Linked DNA regions of Macaca mulatta. The protein of the gene in region 1 purifies or fractionates together with the protein of each later gene. This does not show direct contact. Links are inferred from orthologs where the notes say so. Each region holds a gene or a part of one and is shown in the gene's direction. Other genes may lie near its edges.

Region 1 (3,746 bases):
CCCTTATCTCCTCTCACTCTCCATCTTGCTCACTTTGCCCCAATCACCCTCCTCATTTTCTCTCCAACTTCCCGTATCTTTCCTTCCTCAGGGCCTCTGCATCTGCAGATCTCTTCCCTGCCTGGAACTCCCTTCCCCTAGATAGGTGCATGCCTCACTCCTCACTTCCTTCAGCTCTTTAGCTCAAAAGTCACCTGATGCATTCCCTGACCACCATGCCAAAAAAACAAAAATCACTTGCCCTCCAAAATCTCTATCCCCTTTCCCTGCCGTGATTTTCTCCAAAGCACTTACTGCCTTCTAACATTCAACATGTTTGGTGTCCATTTCCTCCATTAAAAAGATTAACTCCAGGAGAGTGGAGATTCCTTTTTTGTTTGTTTGTTTGTTTGTTTGTTTTGTTTTTTTTTTGAGGCGGAGTCTGGCTCTCTTGCCCAGGCTGGAGCGCAGTGGCCGGATCTCAGCTCACTGCAAGCTCCGCCTCCCGGGTTCACGCCATTCTCCTGCCTCAGCCTCCCGAGTAGCTGGGACTACAGGCGCCTGTCAGCTCACCCGGCTAGTTTTTTGTATTTTTTAGTAGAGACGGGGTTTCACTGTGTTAGCCAGGATGGTCTCGATCTCCTAACCTCGTGATCCGCCCGTCTCGGCCTCCCAAAGTGCTGGGATTACAGGCTTGAGCCACCGCGCCCGGCCGAGAGTGGAGATTCTTAGGTCTCGTACACCGCTGTATTCCCAGCTCCTAGAACAGCGCCTGGTATACATGAGGGGCACGGTAAATGTTTTTCGGATGTATGAATGGAAGCACAGAGTCGGTCACTGTTCTTGGCGCTGGAAATGTGTCAGGGAAGCCGTTTTGGGTGTACAGGGACCCCAGGGAGTTAGAAATACAAAAGAGGGGGCAGAGGGCACAGCCCGTGGGAAGGCCTCGCTATGAGCCCTGATTATTGGGGTGCTCGCACTGGGGAAGAGGAAACCGGAAGCGAGTTTAGGGAGACCGCTGCACAAGCAAAGGCTGGGAAGGCAGAGAGTGAGGGTAACCGGCTTAGTTTCGATAGGCTCGAGATTCCTCGCCCACTGTGCGTGCGCCGAGCTCCAAGCGGGGCAGGGGGCCGGGGCGGGGCTACGTGGTTGCGTCACGCGCTGCACGTCGCCGCGCGCCTGCGCTCTTTTCCACGTGCGAAAGCCCCGGACTCGTGGAGTTGTGAACGCCGCGGGCTCCGGAGCCGCACAAACCCGGGCTCACCATGAAGCCAGGTCAGGCTGGGGTGGGGTCCGGGATCAGGGACGGAGGCCGGGCGGGAATCCGGGTGCCAGGCCAGAATCGGAGGGGTGGGGCCTTGGCCTGGGGGCAGGGGTTCTGAGCACGGATCCGGTCTCTTGTGGGAAGGGGAATCCTGATTCCAGGAGGTCTAGGGGTTATTGACTGGCTTCGGAGGTCACGGTCGTGAGTCGAAGAAGGCCTTGGGCCTGGCATTGGGGGTCTTGACCTGGCGTTCGTCTCTTTGAGGCCGTCTAATAGGGATTTTGGATATTGGGCAGGAGGCGGCACTCAGGAGTCTTGGACTAGAGTCTGGATCCCGGCATCTGGAGTCTTGGATCGCTGGGCGTGTTTTGGGAATCAGCCTTGGGTCGGAGATGGAGAGTTCCTGACCTTGGGTCCTGGAGATGTGTGTGGGAAGCCCCTATTTGCCTTCCCTGTCGCTGCCACCACCACCATCCCCTTATCCCCCAACCCAGCTTTTCCGAGTGGGCCGGAGCGGAGGACTCCTCGGTTGGCCGTGTGCGGCACTCTGGCTCACTTTCCCGCCTTCTGCACTTACAGGGGGGCGGATCCCCAGGGATGGAGTGGAGATTTGGGGACTAAGATTTCCACCTCCGGGGCGAGACTTAACAAGCTCGGCATTAGATTGGGGTAGGGGGGTGGGTGGCTGTCACAGGACGTAAGTGGTTTTATTCTTTCGATTTTCCATTAGATTCTGCTGAACCCACTGCCTTCATGGTGGAATGATGAGGGTCCTGGCTTTGACAGCAGAAGGGCCTCAGTTTAGTATTTCAGTTCTGGCTCAGCTTCTTAGCCTGCTGTGTGACCTTGGGCAAGTGGCTTTACCTCTCTGAGCCTCTGTTTTCTCATCAATAAAAAGGCGCCAGTTAGGATTAAGCGACGTTTAAAAAAAAAATAGCACAGTGCTTGACATAATAGTATTGGCTCTAGCTGTTGCCTTTATCTTTCTCAAAGAGAACAAAATTAGAATCCTTCTCCGTGGTGTCTGAGCACTTCCTCCATCTGGCCTGCCCAACCCCCACTCGTCTGTGTGAGAACTTGCTTCATTGAGTTTGGAGAATTTTCCACCATGGCCCAAAGGGTCTGTTTTCCTGGAACAGGCTTTATTTTTCTTTTTTGTGTGTGTTTGTGTGGAGAGATTGGGGTCACCTGGCAGGAGATTTGTGGATCCGTGCCCTTCTCCCAACCTCCCTTTCTCTTCCGTGTTTGGGGGATCTCCTGATGAAGTGGGCTGAGGGATTGTAGGCCAGGTATCTCTCCTATTGAGATCCTGACTTGCCTGCAGGCATCCTGGTCTATGATTCCCTCAGAAATGGAGGATACCCCTTCTTCCAACCTTCTTCCGTTGTGTGGTAGAATGTGAAGTTGTAAAAGTTGTCAGGTGTTAGCTCTTTAGTAAGGATTTTAGTCTGAGTGAGAGAACCCTTTGGGAGCTTTTGAGCAGGGGCGTGGTGCAGTCTGACATTTTTAAAAGGGATTCTTCTTGCTTCCATGTGTGAAAGACCTCAGGGTGGCAAATGTGGAAGCAGGCAAATCGGTGGGAAGCTTGTTGCTGTAATCTAGGAGGTGGTGTGGTGGACCAGGATGGAAGCAGTGGACATGCTGACGGTTTTACATGCTTTTGAAGACAGAACCAACAGATTGTATGTGGGTGTGTGAGCAGAGTCAAGGATAACCAAGGGTTTGGGGGTGTGTAGCTGGAAGGATGGAATTGCCATTTTTGAGATGGAGAAGGCTGTGGAAGGAAAGCAGATTTTAAATCAGGGAGTTTGTGGAACCCCCCCTTCCCCCCAAAAAAGAACTTACTGGAAAAGTTTGTGTGAACATGTGTTTTTTCTGAGGAGTGGGTACTTTTGGTACATTTTCCCCCAAAAAGCTCCAGGACCTGAAATGAGATGTTTTGAGTATCTGGGATTGAAAGTTGGCCGGGCACGGTGGCTCAAGCCTGTAATCCCAGCACTTTGGGAGGCCGAGACGGGCGGATCACGAGGTCAGGAGATCGAGACCATCCTGGCTGACACGGTGAAACCCCGTCTCTACTAAAAAATACAAAAAACTAGCCGGGCGAGGTGGCGGGCGCCTGTAGTCCCAGCTACTCGGGAGGCTGAGGCAGGAGAATGGCGTGAACCCAGGAGGCAGAGCTTGCAGTGAGCTGAGATTCGGCCACTGCACTCCAGCCTGGGTGGCAGAGCGAGACTCCGTCTCAAAAAAAAAAAAAAAGAAAGTTTACACTCCTGCCCACTCCGCCCCGTGCACATGCCAGTACTTCCTTTTTATTAGGCCTGGGTTGAGACTTTCATAAACCTAGCTGTGGCATCTCCCCTAAATGAAGGTCCTGGCTTTGGAAAACTGTTGGAGGGTTTGGGCAAGAAAATAATGAGATCTGAGTGCTGTTAGGCACATGGATGCAGCTGGAAACCATCATTCTCAGCAAACTATTGCAAGAACAAAAAACCAAACACTG
Region 2 (3,746 bases), on another chromosome or scaffold:
AGCTGCCACGCCCTCCCTGGGCCACCACCCTCCAGGAACCTCCGCGTATTCAGCTATCAGAGGCTCTCCAAACCCTGTCCTTGGGTTTTTATGGAAGCTTCTGGACCTATCTAAATGATACAAGCCGGCTTCTTGTCCCCAGAAAAATGATGTTCCATTAGAACTTGGATGCAGGGTCGGAGGTGCAGAGAGGGAAGGTCACAGAAATTACTCATGGATCCTGCCCTTCAGGATGTCACAGTCTGGTTGGGTTTAACCCGGTTAAAACCAGCAATGCCAGGAGGTTTCTGTTGAAAAGAGAATGAAGCCTAAGGGCTGGGTGCGCACAAGCATGAGTTCTAAGCCGATGGAAAAAAGGAGGTTCTAGGAAGGCCTCTTTCAGGAAAACCCTGACTTCTTCCTTTGCTCTTACAACAATCAGCACAGAAGAGTTCTGTGACCAAAGGTTTGGGTTTTTTCCCTCCACACTAAGCAGCAGACACGAGCGGGGTGTCCTCCAATTCAATCCCAACATTATCTACCTGGAGACAGTGTCAGATCCCATGAGACAGTGTCAGATCCCATAGGTTGAGGGCTCAGTCCCCAAGACCGCCCCGACCTTCAGACAGCAATGGCAAGTCTGGGCCTCTGAAACTTCCGACCAGCCCGCTTCAAGTGGGGGTTCCCACGACCCCCCTCTTTGGGTTGTATTAACTCACTGGAGCAGCTCACAGAACTCAGGGAAACACTTTTACCGGTTTCATATAAAGGATATTACCAAGGATACAGATGAGATGAGCAGGGTGGGCAGTGGGGAAGAAGCTCCGAGCTTCCTCGCCGTCCCTGGGCCACCACCCTCCAGGAACCTCCACGTATTCAGCTATCAGAGGTTCTGCAAACCCTGTCCTCATGGGTTTTTATGGAAGCTTCTGGACATCAGCATCCCTTCCCCCAGGGTAGAGGGTGGGACCTTCTCTGGGAAGGGACTTAAGACCCATAATCAGAAATGTGGGAGATTAGAGTCCTGCATTGGGGCGGGTGAAAGGAGGGCGGGAGAAGGGGAGAGTGAGAGTCTGTTTCCTGAGGCCTAACACACCCAACATTATCACAGAACACTGTAACGAGGGCTATGGGAGTTACGACCCAGGAACTGGGGATGAAAACCAATAAATACATAATATAACACCACAGCCTCCTAGAGGAAAGTGACCGTGTAAGGGGCTGGTGAGAGCTGGGGGAAGACAAGAGTGCATTCCACACAGCCCAAAAGCCTGGCGTGCCTTGAAAACAGTAGGTGGAAGCGGCCACTAGAAATAATTAAACAGCTTCGGACAGAGGACTCAGGCCAGCGCAGCAAGAAGGCTCCGGAAACCGGATTCGAGGCTTCCCGGGCTGCACAGGAGGCCTCCAGCAGAAGGCGCGATTCCGCCTGGGGCCTTAGGTCCTCAGTGCGCCGGCGCGGGAAGCGCTTCCGGGCAAGGGCGGGGCTTCCGGCGGCGCTTTAGGTCGCGGGGTACTTGGGCCTGGGTTGTCCTTTGCATCTGCACGTGTTCGCAGTGGATTGCGCGATGCTACCTCTGCTGCGCTGCGTGCCTCGTGTGCTGGGCTCCGCCGTCCCCAGCCTCCGCGCTGCCGCGCCCGCCTCGCCTTTCCGGCAGCTCCTGCAGCCGGCGCCCCGGCTGTGCGCCCGGCCCTTCGGGCTGCTCAGCGTGCGCACAGGTTCCGAGCGGCGGCCGGGCCTCCTGCGGCCTCGAGGACCCTGCGCCTGTGGCTGTGGCTGCGGCTTGCTGCACACTGAAGGTGAGGTTCGCGCACGCGGGCCAGGGGTGTGGTTTGCGGTTCACGGAGGGGAAAAGACCAGGAGTGGGGCCTGCAACCGACCTCCGAGGTCTGGGACATTTTTCCATTGATTGGCAACCAGCGGGTTAAACCCACGTGTGATCATATTCCCCCCACCTCCCCTATCCACCAGTTTCATTTTCTGTTGGTAGGGGGGTGAATAAAATTAAATACTAGAGGGTACCTTCATCCTTAGTCTTATTCTCTCGAAAGTGGACTTTTGGGAAAGCCCAAGGTCGTGTTTGAAAATAGCATACGATACAACTATCGTTTGGCAAGTGGAAGAGGATGATCGGAAATTCTTCTGCTTTATAGCGGAAAGTGGTAATGCGTTCATTGTTGGAAATCACTTTTCCAGCATCAGGCTCAGCTTCCCACTAATATTATGGTATTTTTACAGATAAGGAAACTGAGGCTTCTAGAGTAACTGTAATAGCAGAGAGATTAGAAATAGTCCAGGTTTCTGGCTGCGATAACCAGGGTAATAGTTTTATGTTTTAGACTAACTGGCTTTCCTTTTTATGTATATGGATTTCTTTTCTAGGAGACAAAGCTTTTGTTGATTTCCTGAAGGATGAAATTGAGGAGGAAAGAAAAATCCAGAAGCATAAAACCCTCCCTAAGATGTCTGGAGGTTGGGAGCTGGAACTGAATGGGACAGAAGCGAAATTAGTGCGGAAAGTTGCCGGGGAAAAGTAAGTACTGGTCTGGGGATCCCAGGGCACCGACTCCCTTAACCTTGCAAGACCCGTCCTGAGTCATCCCTAGAAGAGCCTTGAGTTCAGGTGTGGATAAATGGTTTTCAAGAGAGTGAAGGATTCAATTGGACAGCTTCATAAGGTCCAGGCAGTCCATTCACTGAACACAAATTTGCTGTGGGCTGGTTACTAAGGAGACAAAAATGTAGCGCAAAAAAGTACTGACAGAATCTGTTTGATCTCTGATTTACAGCCCTGATACAGTAGCACCCTGCTCTCTGTAATGTTTAGCTTGGGTGAAAATGCAAGGCATGTAACTTATATGTAACAGGATGGGGTTCCACTGTAGATAAGGGCTGCCATCAGAGGCGGGGAGTTTGTGACCTAAGTCAGGTGCCCCACCTTCTCCTAAACTGTTAGTGTTTACACTTTTCTGCTTTATAGTCATCCATAATCTCATTACACAGATAAACATTTGTCATCTTCCAGATTTTTAAATTGAGGCTGGGTGCAGTGGCTCACGCCTATAATCCCAGCACTTTGGGAGGCAGAGACGGCAGATCATGAGGTCAGGAGATCGAGAACATCCTGGCTAACACTGAAACCCTGTCTCTACTAAAAATTTTAACAGGGTGTGGTGGCAAGCACCTGTAGTCCCAGCTACTCAGGAGGCTGAGGCAGGAGAATCGCTTGAACCCCCGGGTTTCAGTGAGCCGAGATGGCGCCACTGTACTCCAGCCTGAGGGACAGAGCAAGACTCCATCTCAAAAAAATAATAAATAAATAAATAAATTGAATTTTCTTTATAATTGACCTTATGATGTATATATAATTCTTTTTTAAAATCACAGCTTTAATGTGATTTAATTTATATGGCATAAAATTTACCCATTTATTGAAGTTTATTAAATTAAGTGGTTCTTAGTCCTCACAGAATTATGCATCGGTTACCACTACCTAATTCTAGAACATTGTTGTCAATCCCCAAACAATACCTATTAGCAGTCACTCATTATTCCTCCCTCTAGCCACCCCAGGTAATCACTAAGCTACTTTATGGATTGCCTCTTTTGGACATTTCATATAAATGGAATCATACAATTTGTAGCTTCCTCCCCACCCCACGGAGTCTTGCTATTACCCAGGATGGAGTGCAGTGGCACGATCTTGGCTCACTGCAGCCTCTGCCTCCCGGATTCGGACAATTCTCCTGCTTCAGCCTCCTGAGTA
Region 3 (3,746 bases), on another chromosome or scaffold:
TCCAAAGTGTTGAGATAACAGGTGTGAGCCACTGTGCCTGGCCAGTTTTATACAGGAGAGGGGAGTGTCTGGAGAAAGGCAAAGGAGAGGTGTGTTCCATGAGAATCCTTATCCTTCTTGAGCGGCATTAGTGGGAGGTAGCCAAGGGGTAGTGGGTAGGATCGAAGCGATTGCTAACTGCTAATATGATCTGAAATGTGGCAGAACTTGGAATTAACTTGGTAGATGTGAGCATTGATATTGGAGTTACTCATGACAAAGGGAGCAACTCTGACCCTGGAGAAAGAAGGGCTATTCAGGTTTAGTGCAAGACATCTTTCCTCTTCATGGAGCTGACCTAAGGCGGAATATAAGGGGAATGGGAGGGGCGGCTTGGAAATCAACACCTGCCACCCTCACGACTGATAACTTGAAGGATCCTCTGGACGACTGATAACTTGAAGGATCCTCTGAACAACACCTCCCACCCTCACGACGGATAACTTGAAGGAGCCTCTGCAGCAGAGGCAGGAGTCTGGAGGCTGGGATAGTATCAGAAAGGGCCTCCCTGGGTGTTGGAGGCAATGAAGATGAAGGGCGAGAATCCATTGGCCGCGCCAGTGCGCCAGTGGGGGCGGTTGGGAGATCTTGTAGACCAAGTCTAGAACGGGACTGTTCGAGCCCGCTTGTCCACTCATTACTCTGGAATCCGAATCCCAGCAGGGGCGCGGGAAACCGCTGCTCTGAGAAAAGGTACCTCCCCCAGAAAGACAGCGCGGGAAGTCCCGAGTTTCCCGCCACGCCGAGGGCGTGACCCTTGACGTCAGAGCTCCACCTCCACAAACTGGCGGCCAGTGGGCTCCGCCCTTAACCAAGATGGCGATACACGTGGGACCGGAAAGAGTTTATAGATTTCCCGTCTACCCTACCTCTGAGGTGGAGGTGGGACTGTCCTGTGGAGCCCCGCCCTTTCCGCTATGCGCCCGCGCGGCGCAATGACGTACACGGGCCCGCCCACTGCCCCTGTTGGGTTCCTGAGTCGTGCTGCGTCGACAACGGTAGTGACGCGTATTGCCCGGAGGATGGCGGACGCCGGCTTGCGCCGCGTGGTTCCTAGCGACCTGTATCCCCTCGTGCTCGGCTTCCTCCGCGATAACCAACTCTCGGAGGTGGCCAATAAGTTCGCCAAAGCGACAGGAGCTGTGAGTTCCGGGCTTGGCGTGGGGACCGGGCTGAGATGACCACAAAGCTTCAGGCCCTGACGTGCTTAGGTTTCCAGGTGGGGAAGTCTGTGGGGTCCGCCAGTTCAGTGTCTGCAAGGCCTTTACGCCGACCCCTGGGCAGTGGTCAGAGAAAGCCTGCGGCCTCGGTCGCTCCTCTTCCCGCAGTTCTGACTAGATATCGCTGAGTCTTGTTGTTTTTTTTCTTGTGGAGCCGTGCAGTGGCGGCAGCGTGGGAGCCTCGTGGCCCGAAGTCACATGGCTGGCAGAGTGCAGCGGGGAGCTAGAGCCTTGTCCCACTGAGGACGTTGGTTCTTCGGCATCTGTTTCTTCTGGGGTGCTTTTCGTTGGATGAGGCAAACCGCGATTTGACCTTACCCTCAGTTACATTTACTGGGCTTCAAAAGCAAGTGAAATTGCTTTAGAATGAAGGCCGGGATTGTCGTTAGTAAAGAAGAAAATGAATGAAAGTAGAAGCAGAGTTTTGTTTTGAGTTACACTAATGAGAATTGAGCATCATAAACAGCCCTACCAAGCAGGCATAGTAGTGGGCTTGGAGCTTTGGCTAATGCAATCAAACAAACCTAGGTTTGGGACCAGGCTCTGTCACTTTTTAGATACGTGACCCGGGCAGTTTATTTAACCTCTCTGAGTCTTTCTACAGGGATGTCATCATCCACTTTATAGGATTTTTGTGAATTTCAGTAAGATGATGTGTAAGAGTAGCAATCTCAGTGCTGGTGCAGAGGAATCTTGTAGAAGTTAAAGCTGTACCATAATGATGGCAATTTAGGATGCTCCAAACACATGTGAGAGTAAGAGAACCAGGAATGGGAAAGGTTTGTAATCTTTCACATCAACAGACATCCCTGCATGGGAAGAGACCTTGAGGGAGGAGAGAGAGGAGGTCTTCTGCAGGGATGATAGCATGACTAGAAAGGATGGCTTGCACTTTTTTTTTTTTTTTTTTTTGAGACGAGTCTCGCTCGCTCTGCCGCCTGGAGTGCAGTGGCCGGATCTCAGCTCACTGCAAGCTCCGCCTCCCGGGTTCACGCCATTCTCCTGCCTCAGCCTCCCGAGTAGCTGGGACTACAGGTGCCGCCACCTCGCCCGGCTAGTTTTTTGTATTTTTTAAAGTAGAGACGGGGTTTCACCGTGTCAGCCAAGATGGTCTCGATCTCCTGACCTCGTGATCCGCCCGTCTCGGCCTCCCAAAGTGCTGGGATTACAGGCTGGAGCCACCGCGCCCGGCCGGCTTGCACTTTTAGCAGAATCAGGCTGCAAAAGCAAAAGAATCAGATCAGCTTCAGAACTTCCTTAAGCTGGGACATGCTGCCATGTGATCTAACTGCTTTCTTAATGAAACTGTTTAGAGTTGACTGTTAAGGAGACTGCAGAGAGGACTTTCACAGTGGACTGAATGGAATTGGACATTTCAGAATTAGGATTCTTTTTTTTTGTTTTTTTTTTGAGACGGAGTCTCTTGCCCAGTCTGGAGTGCAGTTGCCCAGGCTGGAGTGCAATGGTGCGATCTCGGCTCATTGTAACCTCCGCCTCCTAAATTCAAGAGATTCTCCTGCCTCAGCCTCCCGAGTAGCTGGGATTATAGGCGCGCACTGCCACGCCCGGCTAATTTTTTTATTTTTACTAGAGACAGGGTTTCACCATGTTGACCAGGCTGGTCTTGAACTCTTGACCTCAAGAAATTCGCCCGCCTCGGCCTCCCAAAGTGCTGGGATTACAGGCGTGAGACACCGTGCCTGGCCTCAGAATTAGGATTCTGAAATGGTTTTATGTGAGAAAAGCTAATCTTTGTGAAGAGTTTACTAAGGGTCAGGAGCTAAGCCCTTTACATGCATTTAATTTTTTTTTTTTTTTTTTTTTTTTTTTTGAGGCGGAGTCTGGCTCTGTCGCCATGCTGGAGTGCAGTGGCATGATCTCAGCTCGCTGCAACCTCTGCTGAAGTGATTCTCCTGCCTCAGCTTCCCAAGTAGCTGGGCCTACAGGTGTGCCCCACCAAGCCCAGCTAATTTTTTTTTTTTTTTTTGTATTTTTAATAGAGACGGGGTTTCACCATGTTGGCCAGGCTGCTTTTGAACTCCTGACCTCAAGAAATCCACCACCTGGGCCTCCCAAAGTGCTGGGATTATAGGTGTGAGCCACTGCACACGGCCAACATGCATTATGTCTTATCCTCTCAATAACTTAATGAGATGTGTAGTATTATCTCCATTTTATAGAGAATAAAATAATCTCAGGGAGACTAAGTAATTTGTCCAAAGGTGAGTTCCCATGTGTCCTGACTCTGGTCCTTTACTCTTTTTTGTACCCCAGAGTCTCACTCTGTTGCCCAGGTGGCAGTGCAGTGGTGCAATCTCAGCTCACCCCAACCTTCGCCTCTCAGGTTCAAGTGATTCTTATGCCTCAGCCTCCTGGATAGCTGGGATTACAGGCGCCCACCACCACGCCCAGCTAATGTTTGTATCATTAGTAGAGATGGGGTTTCACCATACTGGCCAGGCTGGTCTCAAATTCCTGATCAGGTGA

Evidence for each region.
Region 2: the proteins of FBL (region 1) and C1QBP purify together in Homo sapiens (affinity purification with mass spectrometry; 4 studies listed by BioGRID and IntAct, counting the BioPlex papers as one, with this or other methods). This does not show direct contact. The link is inferred for Macaca mulatta from reciprocal best matches to the Homo sapiens genes FBL and C1QBP.
Region 3: the proteins of FBL (region 1) and NOLC1 fractionate together in Homo sapiens (co-fractionation; 3 studies listed by BioGRID, with this or other methods). This does not show direct contact. The link is inferred for Macaca mulatta from reciprocal best matches to the Homo sapiens genes FBL and NOLC1.

What each region holds. Positions count from the first base shown.
Region 1 is NC_133424.1:50,974,433-50,978,178, reverse strand, and holds the start of FBL (rRNA 2'-O-methyltransferase fibrillarin), read left to right. Parts: upstream 1-1,165; 5' UTR 1,166-1,244; coding exon 1,245-1,254; intron 1,255-3,746.
Region 2 is NC_133421.1:6,940,168-6,943,913, reverse strand, and holds the start of C1QBP (complement component 1 Q subcomponent-binding protein, mitochondrial), read left to right. Parts: upstream 1-1,494; 5' UTR 1,495-1,547; coding exon 1,548-1,779; intron 1,780-2,362; coding exon 2,363-2,513; intron 2,514-3,746.
Region 3 is NC_133414.1:114,260,027-114,263,772, forward strand, and holds the start of NOLC1 (nucleolar and coiled-body phosphoprotein 1), read left to right. Parts: upstream 1-1,039; 5' UTR 1,040-1,061; coding exon 1,062-1,181; exon of another isoform or gene 1,182-1,216; coding exon of another isoform or gene 1,217-1,258; intron 1,259-3,746. UniProt on the Homo sapiens protein: Nucleolar protein that acts as a regulator of RNA polymerase I by connecting RNA polymerase I with enzymes responsible for ribosomal processing and modification.